Alligator mississippiensis: one gene and its partner. The protein of the gene in region 2 purifies or fractionates together with the protein of the main gene of each other region. This does not show direct contact. Links are inferred from orthologs where the notes say so. Each region holds a gene or a part of one and is shown on either strand. Other genes may lie near its edges.

Region 1 (7,232 bases), on a different chromosome or scaffold from region 2:
ACTGAAGTAGTAAATCACATGGCACTGTAATGGGCTTAGAAGGTCCCTTTCAGCTTGAAATCCTGTCACTTGCAGGGGACCAACTCTGGCAACGCTATGGCAGCTGATGCATCTGTCTGGTACACTTCCTAAAGCCCTGGTACTGGGAGTAGCTCAAACAAACAAACTTATGTTAAAGTAGTTCTTTCCTGGTTTCGTGACTGCAGAGAAAGGGCTTGGAAAGGGGAACCTGAGCACACCCTGAAGTAGCAGAAATCAGGAGGCAAGGTGTGTGCGAGTGGGGTGTGTTTATACATAGAGGCAATTATGACTGCCTGTTAAGGACCTGCCTAATGGATTTATAGCATGGGGCTCTCATATCCCCCTGAAGCTACTAACATAGCTTCTTACATTGCTGAAGTAGTAAACCATATGGCACTGTCAAGGGCTTCCAAGGTTCCTTTCACCCTGAAATCCTGTCCCATGCAGGGGGCCAGCTCTAGCAATTCCATGGCAGCCAATGCACTGTCTGGCAAATTTCTGAGTCACTTGAATGTACAGATTCTTGTTAAAGTAAATTCCTTCTTGGTTGAAGGATGTGCATGTGCAACTGCTGGTATGCACACAAACATATAAAGTAAGATCCAAGCAAAAATCATATGTGTGCACACGTGCCCACACATGTAGGACAGGTGTGCGATAATTATCGTATCTGCATAATTTCAACCCTTGTACAATGTACAATAGATAATGTTAAAAGTGTTCAAAACATACAATAATTTGAGGCCATTAATTGATGCAGCATACACAAAATCCAAATCACTCTAGGAGGATGGGTCTACAGGTCGCTGTACGGTGACATGTTGTAGTACTTCCTTTTGGAAGTACTAACACATGGTGCAGCAACTGTACCATACATGCGGTGCACAGTTAGATTTCACTGTTACTTCACTGTAGTGGCACGCTAAAACAGGGGAGCATGCTGCTAGTAAGGTAGCTGCCAATCACGTGTAGACTCACGTGATTGCTATGTCGCCATAGCACGCTGTATGGCAACATACGGCAATGTGTAGACACACCCAGAGAGTTTCAACTGACTTTCGGGTTTGCTGTCAGCGCTTTCTTATGACTGGCTGCCTCAAAATAAAGAAACACTTCCACATTGATGACCCAGTTGTCCCTCCCTCCCTGGGGAATTACGGTGACGGAACAGGTTTCCCTCAACTTATGGGGTACCTGCATTCCTGGAGAACACTGCATAAATTGAATTTGCATAAAGCAAATCTACTTTATAATGTAAGGAACAGGGAGAGGTTCCCTTGTTGGCTGCTCCCAGGGCCAGCTGGGGTGAGTGCGGACAAGCGGAGCCCCAGGCATTGTGGGGCGTGGCACTCACCTCAACCCTGGCTGTAGCGGCCCTGGGAGCTGCCAGCACCAGCTGCCTGCACCAGGGCATGGTGCAGCCCAGCAGCTACAGGGAGCTGGCATTAGTCATTCCCAGGACAGCTGCAGCAGGAGCTGGGGTGCGTGGGGCCAGGCAGAGCCCCGGGGGGCTTGGGGCATGGTGCAGCCTAGTGGCTGCCAGCAGCTCCCAGGGCTGCTGCAGCCGGGGCTGGGGTGAGTGCTGTGCCCAGGACTCCGCTTGTCAGCACTCATGCCAGCCGGCCCCAGGAGAAGCTGACAGGGGAACCTATCCCTATTTCTTACATTATAAAGTAGGTTCGCTTTATGCAAATTCGATTTATGAGGTGTTCTCCAGGCCTATGCTAATCACATATACATGAATTTCTCTCACATATAATGAATTTCAGGTACAAAAGGGTCACGGCATAAGAATGAATGTGCATAAATCGAACCTGCATAAATTGAGGGAAACCTGTGTTGCCAACTCTCATGGTTTTTGGCGTTGTTCTTAAAGCCTGTGCTTCAGGAATGTGAAAAACTTAGCTGTTTCTTTTACGTATGTACAAATACATATGCATAGATGCATGCACACAGATATAGATCTCCTGCTCTATATATAGAAATTCTAACATTATAAAAGCTTCTGTCTTTCTGTCTGACTTTATTCACACTCTGACTGGCTGACAAATAGCCAATGAGAATGCAAAGAAGCATTTGGACAGGAGGCTATAGAGCACCGCCATGATGGCAGGGACATGGGGGACGGAGTGGGGATGCGAGGCCACTGGAGCTGGCCTTGTCCCCCCCACTCCTTGAAGGTGATGGCGCTGGTGCCAGTATGGGGGGGGAGTGGGGCTGGGACGCTGCAGGGGGGCATGGCCACCAGTGCTGGCCTCGGCCTGCCCCTTACCCCTACTGTTGTTGCAGCCTGCAAGGCCCATATGGCAGGGGTGGGGGGAGAAGCAGGCCCAATGTGGCTATGGGGGGAGGGAAGGAGTGGGCCCGGGCCTGATGTGGGGGAGTGGGGTGGAGAACTGAGCCTGAGCAGTGCGCGGGGGCGACGACACACACAGGACGACAAGCCAGACATGGCCTGATGTAGCAGCGGCAGGGGAGAAGTGAGCTTCCTCCGGGCTTCGGGCCCACTCCTCCCTCACAGTGCCCTCCCCTGTGTCGGCCCCAAGCACACTCCTCCTGTCCCCCCACCGCCACTGGGTTGGGCCCAGGCCCACTGCTCTGCCTCCGCCGCAACAGCCTGGCTTCTCCCCATTCTTGGGCCTGGTCTCTCCCCTGCATTGAGCCTGGGCCTGCTCCTCCCCTCCCTCCTGCTATTCGGAGTGGGCCCAGACCCCAAGCAGCAGGAGGAAAGGGGGGAGTGGGCCCAGATGTGGTAAGGCATGGGGCTCCATCCCCGCCTGCTCCCCCATCATTCTTTGGGCAATTGGCTAGCATGTGTATACCCCCCCCACTCCTTGCTTAACGTTGTAGTTACATGCTTGAAAAATGCAACTTCAAGCGAAATGATGGTAAACAAATCCAATTATGTCACAGTAGTTACCCTCCTAGCAGGTGGCAGTCAAACAACCTTATAACCGAACACTGCATGACTTTAAACAAATATGTTCTTTAGTAGAGCAGCAACGTAATAATGAAACAACATTAACCAGGATGACGTTAAGCGAGGTGTACCTGTGTGTACGCACAGACCTACTGAGAGATAAAGATATATACACACACATCTATAGCTCTCTCGCTATACCTAAAGACACATCTATATGTATAACATACATGTATATAAAAAATACATAAACGAAAGAGCTAAGTCTTTTGCATTCCCCAAGCGTAGACTTTAAGACCAACGCCAAAACACAGGAGAGGGCAACACTGAAGTGAGCAATATCAAGTAAATAAGAACAAGCTTACTCGCATCCTTTTTTGTTTATTTGCTGGTTTGTGTGTTTCCTGCCTGCAACAGCTGGTCAGATATCACGGGCATTAGGAGCTTCCCATAGGATAATTTCACACCTAAAGGCCTGGCACCGTGCGAGCGCAGGTCCAGCCCCCCCCCGGCCGGGCACGCACCTGCAGCACGAAGAGGCGGGAGCTGGCGCCGAAGCGCAGGCAGTGTCCGACTTGCAGGCGGCAGTAGGCGCGCGGCGGCAGGCGGCGGCGGTTGAGGAAGGTGCCGTGCGCGCTGCCCAGGTCGCAGACGTAGAAGCCGCGCGCGGCGGCGGGCCCGGCGGTGCGGTACTGCAGCACGGCGTGGCGCCGCGACACGGACGGGTGCGCCAGGGCCAGCGCGCAGCCCGGCAGCCGCCCCACGGCCCACCAGCTGCGCCCCGCCAGCCGCAGCGCCGCGCCCAGCGCCACACCGCCCCGCACCGCCTCCAGCGCATAGCCCGCGCCCGCCGGCGGCTGCCCGCCCCACGCCGGCTCCTCGTACTCCGCCGGCCCCGGCCCCGGCTCCGGCTCGGGGGGCGCGGGCGCGGGAGGCCCTGGCCTCTTGAAGCCTTCCCGGGCCTCCTCCTCCTCCGCCATGGCGCCGCGTCCGTCTGCAAACACGGTCCGCCGCGCCGCCGTCCCCGCCGCTCGGGTTCCGCCCGCGCCGCCGCCTCAACTGCCCAGTCCCGGTCCTGACATTGGTCCCGGCCCGGCGAGGGGCCCCGGCAACGGGGCGGGGCTGAGTAGCTCCCACAGGCGCCGCCGGACCCTGGGGGACGCTTTTCGAAGGGACGCGCGGGGGGACGGCTTCCGGGTCGCGGACATCACCGACTTCCGGGTCGCGGGGGGGTCACCGACTTCCGGGTGGGAGCGCGGTGGGGGCAGTTGGCCAGCGGCGTGAGTGTTCGATGGTGACGTCACTCGCCTTCCCGCTGAGAAGGCGCTGGTGGAGGAGGGGTAGAACTCTTGACCTGCCCCCGCCCCTTACTGGCTCCTTTCCCCCACCCCAGCACACGGTGCAACAGGCCGTGGGCCCCACGAGGCCTCGCACCTGCTGTCACCCAGGAGCTGGCTGGGTTTCTGCTTCACGGGCTCAGATCCCCCCCTTTTTTTTTTTAGGAGAGAAAAACGGTAGCGTCCTGCCTCACTACTGGCGTCTCTCTTTCTATAGGGCAGCAAGCCACGCCTGGGTCCCCGGCTGTTAGAACGCTTTGAAGACCAGTGTGGCTCAAGCTTTGCCTGAAGCGAGGGCTTTTTCTTTGGTCTCAGTGTCAGGGTGGCACGAGCTTCCCCACCTTTGTGGCTCCCTCTTGGTGGCCGGCCCCCTGCGGCTTGGGGTTTGCACCTGAGAGATGTGGCACGCTGCTCTGTAGCCTCTCTCTGCCGCTGTCTCTGCGTACCTCATTTGCAGGAAGATGCTGCGCTACTGGGGTGAAATTCCCGTCTCGGCCAGTCAGGCCAACCGCAGCTCTTTTGATTTGCTTCAACGCGAGTTTCGCACGGTGGAAGTCCAAGATCCTCCATTGCATCAGCCCTCGGCAAACAAACCCAGACCCACCACCATGCTGGACATCCCATCGGAGCCCTGCAGCCTCACCATTCACACCATCCAGCTCATCCAGCACAACCGACGGCTACGCAGCCTCATCGCCATGGCCCAGGCCCAGAACCAGCAGCAAGTTGAGGGCATCAAAACTGAAGACAGCGAGCCTCTGCCCTCCCGTCCTGCTTCTCCACCTCTCCCCGATGACCTGCTTCCCCTGGATACCAAAATCCCCAAACTGCCATTTCAGCTGAGGCACAGTGACCCAGAGAGTGACTTCTATAGGTGCGTTGGTGGTACTGTGGTATAGGTTGTAGCCTTGTTGATCTAAGGACATAGGCAGATGTGGATCTTTGGGTAAACCTGATATCTCTTCTTAGACCAACTCAAATACTTGGAAAAATCCTTGCAAAGAAGCTGGAAAAAAGCAAAGAAGAATTTTTCCAACAATTTGAGTTGGTCTCGTAAAAGATATCGGTTTTACCCAACGAACCTTGTCTGCCTTGGTGTTTACTGTGGTAAAGATTGAAAAATCTGTGCTTCAGCCAGACCCGTGTATTTTGAATCTGGATTCCTGCGGGCAGCTCTCCGATTGGAGGGCTTGTTAGGGGGGAAGACTGTCACAGTAGAAAAAAGAAATTAAAGTCCATTTTTGTGTGAGCAAGGTGCAGGGCATTTTGCTTCCATGTGCTGTGGCTTCCTATCTGTAATGTGGACTGTAATGCTAGATTTCCCTCATCAGTCAGCCTTTTAGCCATTTATAGCACCAAGTTGAGATGGTAGTATTAGTACTTTGTAGTATTAATAGATGAGATGGCAATATTAGTTGAGATGGCAGCATTAGTACCTGATGCCTGAAGCTCTTGGGGAAACTTTATGGATCTTAAGAAATTAATTAAGTCCCTTGATGCCCTCATGGAGGAGGCGTTTATCCCCTTTCTAGAGGCAGGGGCAGAGTAGATGGTCCGAGTCGCCCAAGTTCCCAACTGTGTCAAAAATCCAGATCTTAATTGTGTGGTGTAGCACAAGATGTCATTAATATCTTTGTCCTGTTGATGTTTGTAGAAGCTCTCTGTGGTTTTGAAGTCTGAGAAGAGAAGCCCAAGTGAGGGTAGTTTGCAACTTGTTTAACTTAGCATGTGCTTCGCATAACAAATTCTTTCTAATTTAGCACATAACAAGCTTTTGAGTTTAGTCAAGTTTCTGTTGTACAACTTTGACATATTTTTGATCAGATTGTACTTTGTCTTAGAAAAAGGGCTGTATTTGTTATCATCTTGAAAAGGAAATGAGTTATTATACTATTTATAGTAATAACGTCTGAGCCTCGACAGGATTCAGACCTACAGACATCTTGACCAAAGTCTTTTTTTTACCCCCCACCCCACTGACTGCAGTGGATAAGAAGAGTAGGGAGACAATATTTAATGATCTCCACCAGGGGGAGTTTAAGGATCAGATTATGAAAACTTAATACAGCATAAATTGGAAGTGAAACGTTTGATGGGTCACAGAGAGGGGGGTTGTAATAGGCTGCGGTAGAGTTCGGAATGTGCTACAAAAAGCAGTTGAATTGCTTGTCTGACGAACCAAACAGACTTAAAGCTTTCCAGGAGAGGAATAGATCAATAAAGCATGAGCTTCGTTCTGTTCTAGTTCAGAACGGAGAAAATCCCTGCGATTTTAAGGTGCTCATATGACTAAGAATAGCAGCTGCATTCCTAGGTAGAGCATAATTGGAAGAATTGTCAGCCCTGTCTTTTTCACTACACAAAGATATAAAGACGACGGTAAAGATAATTTAGGTGCCAGAGAGATGGTATTAAGCTGCTGATGACTGAACTAATCCAATCCCCCTTTTGCACTGTTACACTTCTAGAAAGGGGTGCTTACGTGTAGTTATACAAAAATTAAGAGGTTTTTATTATTGAAATGAAAACAGTGACATAAAGCCCTAACATTTAAAATTTGATAACGTACGTTAGATTTATGATCTTTGAACTGGAGGTATCAAGCATTACATGGCTTCTGCAGCTTTCTTTCTCAATGCTATGGAATCAGCTTAAAAGAAACTCAATATACCCCCTTAATTTCCCTCCCCCTTCCCTCATCCCACCTAAACATCCCAAATGCTGCTGCTCTTCTCCCCCTGTCTGGTTTGCTGCTGCAGGTCTGTCTGGATTGATGCCGTTTCCTTCCTAGCCTGGTATAGGTACGAACTTTGCACTTCCAGTTCAGTTGCTGTTTCTGGATAGGGTACAGATGTGGCATTGAGAAGGTGGTTCATGTTGGGAATGCCAGCTAATGGTTAGGAATGGTTTGGTTGTGAAATACAGAGGCAAGCTTCCCTGTGGGAATGTGCTGA
Region 2 (7,803 bases):
GTCATCGGGGGACCACAGAATTGCCCTCCTGGATGGCTAGAGGGGCCCCCGGGGGAGGAGGGGGGGTCCAGCACCATAGAGTCACCATTTTGCCCAGCCAGAGGAACCCCCTAGTGAGGTAATAGAGATGCCGTTCCCTCTTGGCTGGCTAGAGTGGCCCCTAGGACACCCAGTATCATAGTGTCATCCCTCCCCCCGCCCCACCCCCCATGGCTGCCTAGAGTGACTATCTTGGAGGAGCCATCACCCTGGCAGCCATATTAGAAGTCTTCCAATCCGTCCTCCTTCACCCTGGTGCCCATATTGGATGGGCCCTGGACCTGGCAACCATATTGGAAGCCCTCCAACCCCCCTCCCTCGCCATCCTGGCAGCCAGGCTGGCAAGTCCCACCCCATGGTGGACATCTTGGACTCCCCTCCACTCACTTGTTGGTGGCGTGGCTGTAACTAACAACCTCTGCCAGGATCCACTGCTCATCCCCGTCCACAGCTTTGACCCGGGCGGCCACCTTGTCCCCGGGCTTGGCTACGTAGTCACTGGCAGCTGGGATGGCGCCGCACAAAGGTGGGGGCCTGCAAGCAGGGGGCAGTTAGGGGTGTGGGGGAGGGCTATGAACCCCGCCCCCCAGGGCAGGGGGAAGCAGCAAGAGGTGGGGGGCTCACTTCTCGCCGGGCTTTCCAATCCAGAGAGGCAGCGTCATGGCCGATTGCTGGAGGAGGGTCATGAGGACCCCCCGGCGCATGGTCTTACGTGGCGGCTCCGAGTCGTTGTAGAGTCCCGCGATCTTCGCCGCTGTTGTGGGGAGGGCAAAAGAAAAGAGTGAGGTTTCTGGGTCCTCCCCGTCCCTGGATATCCACGTTGCACAGGACTGTGGGAAACAGGGCCGGTGGAGAGACCTATGTACCAGGGGCTTCTGGGAGACCCCCACAATATCCCCAGGGGTTTCTGGGAGGTCTGTGCCCAGCCACCCCGCATCCCCTGTCCCTCCCCAAAGAATTTTTGGATATCCCAGGCCCTCTCCCACCCTGGAGACCCCAAGACCTCAAGGGATTCTGGCAGTTCCCCCAGAGACCCCTACAGCTGAGGTCCCAGGGGATGCTGGGAAGTCTGTGTCCCCTTGTCAGACCCCAGGGGATTCTGGGAGGTATCAGGTCCCAAGGGATACTGGGAGTTCCAGGCTTCTATACCCTCCAGAGACCCCCACTAGCCCCGGGGGAGAATGCCCCTGTCCAACCACTTCTTGTCAGGCCCCAGGGGATTCTGGGAGTCCCGGGGGAGAGGAGGGGATTAGGTATTGCTTACCAATGCGTCTCTCCTCCAGCAAGGACTTGATCTCGGCGATCTTGTCCAGTGCCTTGCGCAGGATGCTGTGTGGGAGGGGGGGCAGAAAGGGGGGACATTAGTGACCGCTAGTGGGGGGGGGGGGATTTGGGGTGGGGGTGGGGCAAGGGGAGGCAAACTTACTTGCACTCAGCCTCTGCATCCGCCTTGGCCGTGGTGTAAAGCCCCCGCAGCTTGGTGCGGTAATAGGGGGAGACTGCAGGGGGGTGGGGGGGTGCAGTTCAGAACCCAGGCGTCCGGCCCCCCCCAATACTTGATTGAACCCGGGGGCCCGCCCCCCCACCTCGTGTTACGCTGAACCCTGGCGTACAGGCTCCGTCTCCCCCCCGCAATCGGAGATCAAACCCAGGCGTCCAGGGCCAGACCCATCGAAGGAGAAACCCAGGGGTCCGGGCTGGGCTGTAACCCCTCCCCCACCCCCACCCCCACCCCTGGGGGATTCTGGGAAGCACCCAGGCGTGCGGGGCGGGGGTCTCACTCTTATTCTCCGTTTGCATCCGCTCGTGGGTCTTCTGGATGTTCACCAGGTTGTGCTCGCTGCGGGAACGCTCCTCCTGCGGGGGGCGGGGTTACCAGGGCTCCGCCCCCTCGCCAGCAGCCTCTGGGGTAGCCCGTAGGAGGCGGGGATAGGACAACCCTCCCCACACACCTCCCCCTGCCCCCCAGCTCCTTCCTCTGCCTGCCCCAGGGAGGCGGCCGCACACCGCCTGCCCCAGAGGATGCTGGGAAAGGCCCCCCCCACCCCAGAGGATGCTGGGAAAGGCCCCCGCCACCCCAGAGGATGCTGGGAAGCTCACCTGGGTCTGCTTGATGAGCTGGTGCAGCTCCCCCAGCAGCTCCGCGATGCGCGAGTCGGCCGACACCAGCGCCATGGCCGCCGGGAGAGGGCGGGGCCTGCGGGGCGCCCGGCGGGAAGGTTTAGTCGGGGGGGCGGCTAGCTGGATTCCCACAATGCCCTGCGGTGGGGAGGAGAGTTGCTCACGCTCCCACAATGCCTTGGGGCTGGAGGGGGGACTTATGGCCTATCTCCCACAATGCCCTGGGGCTGCGGTGCCAGTAAGCTACTCTCCCACAATGCCTTGGGGCTGAGGGGGAGTCAAGGACATGCTCCCACAGTGGGGGGTTTGCTACTTTCCCACAATGCCCTGGGACAGGGAGCAGTTGGCCACACTCCCACAATGCCATGTGGCCAGAGGGCAGGTTGTCCATACTCCCACAATGCCTCGGGACTGGTGGGGTTGGCAACACTCCCACAATGCCCTGGGACCGGGGGGAGGGGGGGTCCAAGAAGCCGAATACGCATGCGCACTCCCATCACCCGCGTCCCCTCCAAGCTGCGCATGCGCATTCACCTGCTTACCATGACACCCCCTTCGCGCCCCCCCACCGCCCATTTCCGGCCCCGCTTGCCTGCCCCCCGGTCGCCCCCAGGCCCAGACGCACCGCGGGGCCCTCCGGGCGGGACCGGACCTGAAGCGGCGGCGAAGGAGCGGCTCCACGTTCCCAGGGCGGCAGCGGGAGGCGGGGCCCAACTACGCTTGCGCGGAGCCAAGCTCGCGAGGCAGCCTGGGACTTGCAGTCCCTGAGGAAGCGCTTTGAGGTTGCGCATGCGCACAGTGCCACCAGGGCCCACGCAGAACGACAGCGCATGCGCATCGCGCATGTTGCCCTTCCAGTCTCTTGCGCCATAGAGCCGGGGTCTCCCCGGGGCTCCTGGGAGTTGTAGTTTTCAGCTCCCCGGCCCCTCCCGCTCCTGAAACCCCGACCCCCAGCGCTCAGCAACAGCGGTGCCCCTCACTCCCGACCTGCAGCCGCTCCCCCACGTGCAGCATCGCCCATCCTGCGCCGACACCCTGCCCAAAATAGCCCCCCCTTCCCCGTACCCCTGTAATATGGGGGGTCCCCCCTTTCCTGGGGGGTGGGAGCAGGGGATTCTGGGAGCCCGGCCCCCTGGGTTGTCTGATGGGGGAGCCCCACAAACTCTTGTGGGCAGAAGGGGCTGCGGGGGGGGCACCCAGTTAATGATTCCCAGCTCAGGCGCCTCTCTATCAGGCCTGGCAATAAGGGGGGGGGAGGGCTGGGGGGGGGGGAGGGCTCAGCCGAGTCCTGACTCAGTCTCCCCTCGTGACCCGAGGTTGTTTTTCTCCCCATGTGTACCTTGGCCGGGGGCCGGCGGGGCGGGCGGGAGTGGGGGCACCGTAGGGGGGTGCGGGCTCGGCGTGGGGGCACCGCCGTGGGGAGCGATGCAGGTCAGCAGTGGGGCCCCCCTGTGCCTTTAAGGTTCTGGGGGTGGGGCAGGAACGGGGGGGGGGGGGGGTGCCTGGGGGGGAGACGGATGATGCAATGGGGGCGGGGCCTGGTCTATAAAGGGGGGGCAGGACCCAGCGAGACACAAACAGCCCCAGGAGACAGCCGGACGCAGCCCCTGCTGCACAGACCGACGCCCCCAGGGACCCCCAGCTCGAGGACCCCCGACCCCGCCTGCAATAGGCCATGGCCTCGGCCCGGCTTGATGCCGCCCGCCTGGTCCCGACGCCCTTTGAAGGCCGGTACCTGGACGCCTGCGACTACTACAGCCTGACCGAGCGCTACGCGGGTGAGGACCCAGCGTCCGGGCCCGGCCCCCCCTGCCCCGATCCCTGGCTATAAAGTCTGGCTATAAAGTCCGAAGTCACTAGATGGCAGCCAGGCTCCAGGCGTCCGGCTCCCGCCCCTCTGCTCCGCGCTCCCCTCCCAGAGCACCCAGGAGTGGGGGCACCGCTGTGGGGGGCTGCGGGGCGGGAGCGGGGGCACTGCTGTGGGGGGCTGCGGGGCGGGGGCGGGGGCACTGGTGCAGGGAGCTGCGGGTGGGAGTGGGGGACACCCAACTCTGACCCCTCCCCATTTGTGTCCCCCCCCCCGCCATCCCAGTGCCTGATGGGAGAGGCCGGAAAGGGCGTACCAAGCGGGAGGCAGCAGCCCACACGAACCGGCCCAGCCCAGCTGGGCACGAGCGCAAGTTGGCCACCAAGCTGCAGCGATCGGAGCGGCGCCGGGCGGGCAAGGAGTGAGCGGAGCCCTGCCCACAGGTGAGTCAAGATGGCAGCTGCCCGCAGGAACGAGCGGGGCGTGAACCGAGATGGCCGCCATGGGGGATGGGAATGGGGGAGTGAGCAGGAGTCAAGATGGCCGCCACGGGGCCTGGCATTAGGGATGGGAGCGGGAACCAAGATGGCAGCTCTTGGGCACGGCAGTGGGGAAAGAGTTGGGAACCAAGATGGCCGCCACTGGGTGCAGAAATAGTGAGGTGAGCAGCAAGCAAGATGGCTGCCACAAGGCAAGGCTGTGGGAAGCGGGCCAGGCATCAGGATGGCTGCCATTAGGCATGGAAACAGGTGGGAGTAGAAGTCAATATGTCCGCCTTTGGGCATGGCAGGGGGCTGGAAGTAATAACCAAGATGGCCACCATTAGGCATGGGCCAGGAGTCAAGATGGCCACCATAAGGCATGGCAGTGGAGCTAAGATGGCCATCATCACCCACAGCAATGGGGAACAGCACTGGGGTGGGCACAAAATGGTGGTAATGGGGCCCAAGATGGCCGCCAGCCACAACGCCAGGCTGGATGGGGGATGGCAGGGAACAAGATGGCCGACACTAACCCCACCCCCCTCGTTAGCTCAGAGCCTCGTTAGCGAACCCGGTTCCGGACCCCATGGCACACGGCGACACGGAGACGGACACACGGACAGACACACCAAGATGGCTGCCACCCATTGGGCCTGGTGGCCATGTTCTCGCTATTGCCACGGTGACCTCAGTGACCCTGTTGTCAAGGCGACCCTTTTGACCCCCCCATGGCAACCAGGTTTAACCTGTTGCCAGGGTGGCCATTTTGAACCCCCCCTTTGGAAGTCCTAGACACCCCATTACCAAGATGGCCATTTTGAATTTTCCCTGCAGCCACCATCTTGGGCCCATTGCCAGGGTGGCCATATTGAACCCCTCTGATGGCAACCATGTTCATCCCATTGCCATGGCAACCGTGGTGACCCTGTTGCTAAGGTAGCCATTTTGACCACCCCCTATAGGAACCAAACTCCACCCCTTTCTTGGGCAACCCCATTGACCCTCCTCATGGTAGTCATATTGATACCATCACCATGGTGACCATGTTGACACTCCCCCCCCCGCTGCCCAGGCAGCCATACTGAACCATCCCCATTTCAGCCATGTTCACTTTGTTGCCAAGACGGCCATATTGGCCCCCTGCCCATAGCAACCATGCTCAACACCTTTGTCTGGGCAGCCATTTTGAGCCCTTGGCAAAGGCGGCCTATTGAAACCATTGCCAAGACAACCAGTGGAACCCCTTGCAAAAGGCAGCCACATTGAAACCATCACCAAGGCAACCAGTGGAAACTCTTGGCCTAGGCGGCCATATTGAAACCATCGCCAGGACAACCAGTGAACCCACCCCGACTCGGCAGCCATGTTGGATACAGGGGAACCTCAGGTCCCAGGGGGCTCAGAGTGGTCAAAAAGGGGTGAGGAAAGGCACGGGGTGGGTAGCTCTGTAGCTGCCCCTCCTCTGGCCCCGGCACTGTTGCGGGGTGAAAAATAGTCAATAAAATGGGGGGGAGTTCTGAAGAAAATTCATGTTTCTTGAGACTTCTTCAGGAATGAGAGGGGCCAAGGGATTGTGGGTAGTGGAGGGGTTAGCCCCCCAATTGAGGGCTACACACACACACATTTGGCAGGAGGTCAACTCAAATGCCTTTATTCCCCCCACAGGCCGGATGCCCGTTGTCTCATTACTGCTAACGAACCTTGGAAGTCACCCTAATTAGACTCCCTCCCTGCCAGGGATGTGTGTACAGGGTTTGAAGGGGAAGGCCCTGAGGGAAGGAGATCGGTGGGTTGGGTTGGGCTAGGGGTGGGGTCATTTGTTAGAGTTGGGTTGGTGTCATTGGTTGGCTGGGTTAGGTTTGGTGTCCTTGCTTAGGATTGGGTTGCCATTATTGGTAGGTGGAGCTATGGATGGGATCATTTGTTGGGATCACCTAAGGGTCATTGATGGGTCAGGTGGACCCATCCCATCACCCCCTCTCTCCTCCTGGCCCCTCCCCGCTTTGTGGCCCCAGTCCATGTGGTTATGGGGCTGAAGGACCTGAAGAGGGGAAGCCCCCTGGGGGGGCAGTTATATCTCAGGGGGCCGGGGGGCATAGTCCTGGCACCGGGGCCCACCCAGGCCAGGCCCACACTGGAGGCGGTACAGGAAGTGGAGCTGCCCATAGGCCAAATAGCAGGTGCGAGACTGGGGGGCGCCAGCCACAGGCATCTCCCCACAGGCCCCCAGTAGGTCATCATCATGCCCGTTGTCCTCGTCCCACACCTCCAACCTCAGCCCGTCTTCACCGTCTACCCGCCCCACCCCAAAATCCAGTCCCACCCCCCATGCCGGGCTGTCATTGTTCCACACTGTGTCTGCCCGCAGCTCCTGCCCCCCATAAAACACCTTGACATAGGCATCTGACTGGGTGCCGAGGTCCCCGTAGAGCCTACTGGCATTGACCACCGTCACCATGAGCTGGCCCAGGCTTCGCTCCCGGGAGCAGCAGGATGCATCCCACCCCACCTCCTCTGAGCACAGGCAGGTGCATGGGTCCCACGGGCTTCGTTGGGTGCCCAGGGGGCAGGGATGGGTGCAGTTCCTCCACAGCGCCCCATCAAGGACATACTGGCTCACAGCCCTCTGGAGAGAGGCCCGCCGTGGGTCACCCTTCCTTGCCAAGGCATGGATGGGCATCAGAGTGTAAGAGATGAGCCCAGGGTTGGCTTTGAGGCCTTCCACCCAACGAGCATAGGCCCCAGAACCTCTTCCTCCTTGGAGGAGGAAGTCAACGTGGTGATGGCCGCCGGTTGCCTCCACATGGCTCTCGGTGTAGACCTGATGGAAGCTCTTGGCCAATGCCGCCTTGGTCTTCTCACAGACGGCATAGATGCTGTCCACCTTGGCCTGCCCACCACCCAACCCAGCTTCCACCTCCACGTCGAGGCAGTCCCGGACCTGGTCCACTGTGAGCCCATCCAGTGCCACCCGGCACACAGGCACTGCCTTGATTTCCTGGTGGTGGCCACCCACGTGGACAAGGGCTAGGTAGTGGGTGCCATAGATGCCCAGGAAGCGCAGGTAGTCCTCCCTGGAGCTCAGGCCGTAGTTGTCTGGGAGGTCGGAGAGGGCCTGGGAGAAGTCCAGGGATAGTGGGGGATTCTGGGCCAGGCGGAATCTGAGTTGGGGAGGGGGGTGAGAGGGGTGGAGAAGAAGCCACCATCTTGTGAGGGCCAGTGGGGCCTGGGTGAGAACAGTTGGGGGCGGTCTGAAGTGGAAAGAGCGTGACCTATGACCCCAAGTCCAACCAACCTCAACCCAAAGAGCCAACCAACCTCAAACCCGGCCTAAATCAACCCCTTGTGACCTCA

Evidence for each region. Proteins that work in one complex are often made in the same cells at the same time.
Region 1: the proteins of SGF29 (region 2) and SUPT7L purify together in Homo sapiens (affinity purification with mass spectrometry; 4 studies listed by BioGRID and IntAct, counting the BioPlex papers as one, with this or other methods). This does not show direct contact. The link is inferred for Alligator mississippiensis from reciprocal best matches to the Homo sapiens genes SGF29 and SUPT7L.

Annotation. Positions count from the first base shown.
Region 1 is NC_081824.1:175,112,247-175,119,478, reverse strand, and holds the start of SUPT7L (STAGA complex 65 subunit gamma), read left to right. Parts: upstream 1-4,156; 5' UTR 4,157-4,221; intron 4,222-4,227; exon of another isoform or gene 4,228-4,495; 5' UTR 4,496-4,739; coding exon 4,740-5,152; intron 5,153-7,232. Other genes in the region: SLC4A1AP (kanadaptin), read right to left, coding at 3,466-3,921.
Region 2 is NC_081830.1:819,826-827,628, reverse strand, and holds the start of SGF29 (SAGA-associated factor 29), read right to left. Parts: upstream 3,045-7,803; 5' UTR 3,032-3,044; coding exon 2,786-3,031; intron 2,299-2,785; coding exon 2,140-2,298; intron 1,897-2,139; coding exon 1,821-1,896; intron 1,539-1,820; coding exon 1,466-1,538; intron 1,369-1,465; coding exon 1,304-1,368; intron 794-1,303; coding exon 664-793; intron 574-663; coding exon 427-573; intron 1-426. Other genes in the region: nuclear protein 1, read left to right, coding at 3,836-3,938, 4,253-4,392; perforin-1, read right to left, coding at 6,521-7,655. UniProt on the Homo sapiens protein: Chromatin reader component of some histone acetyltransferase (HAT) SAGA-type complexes like the TFTC-HAT, ATAC or STAGA complexes.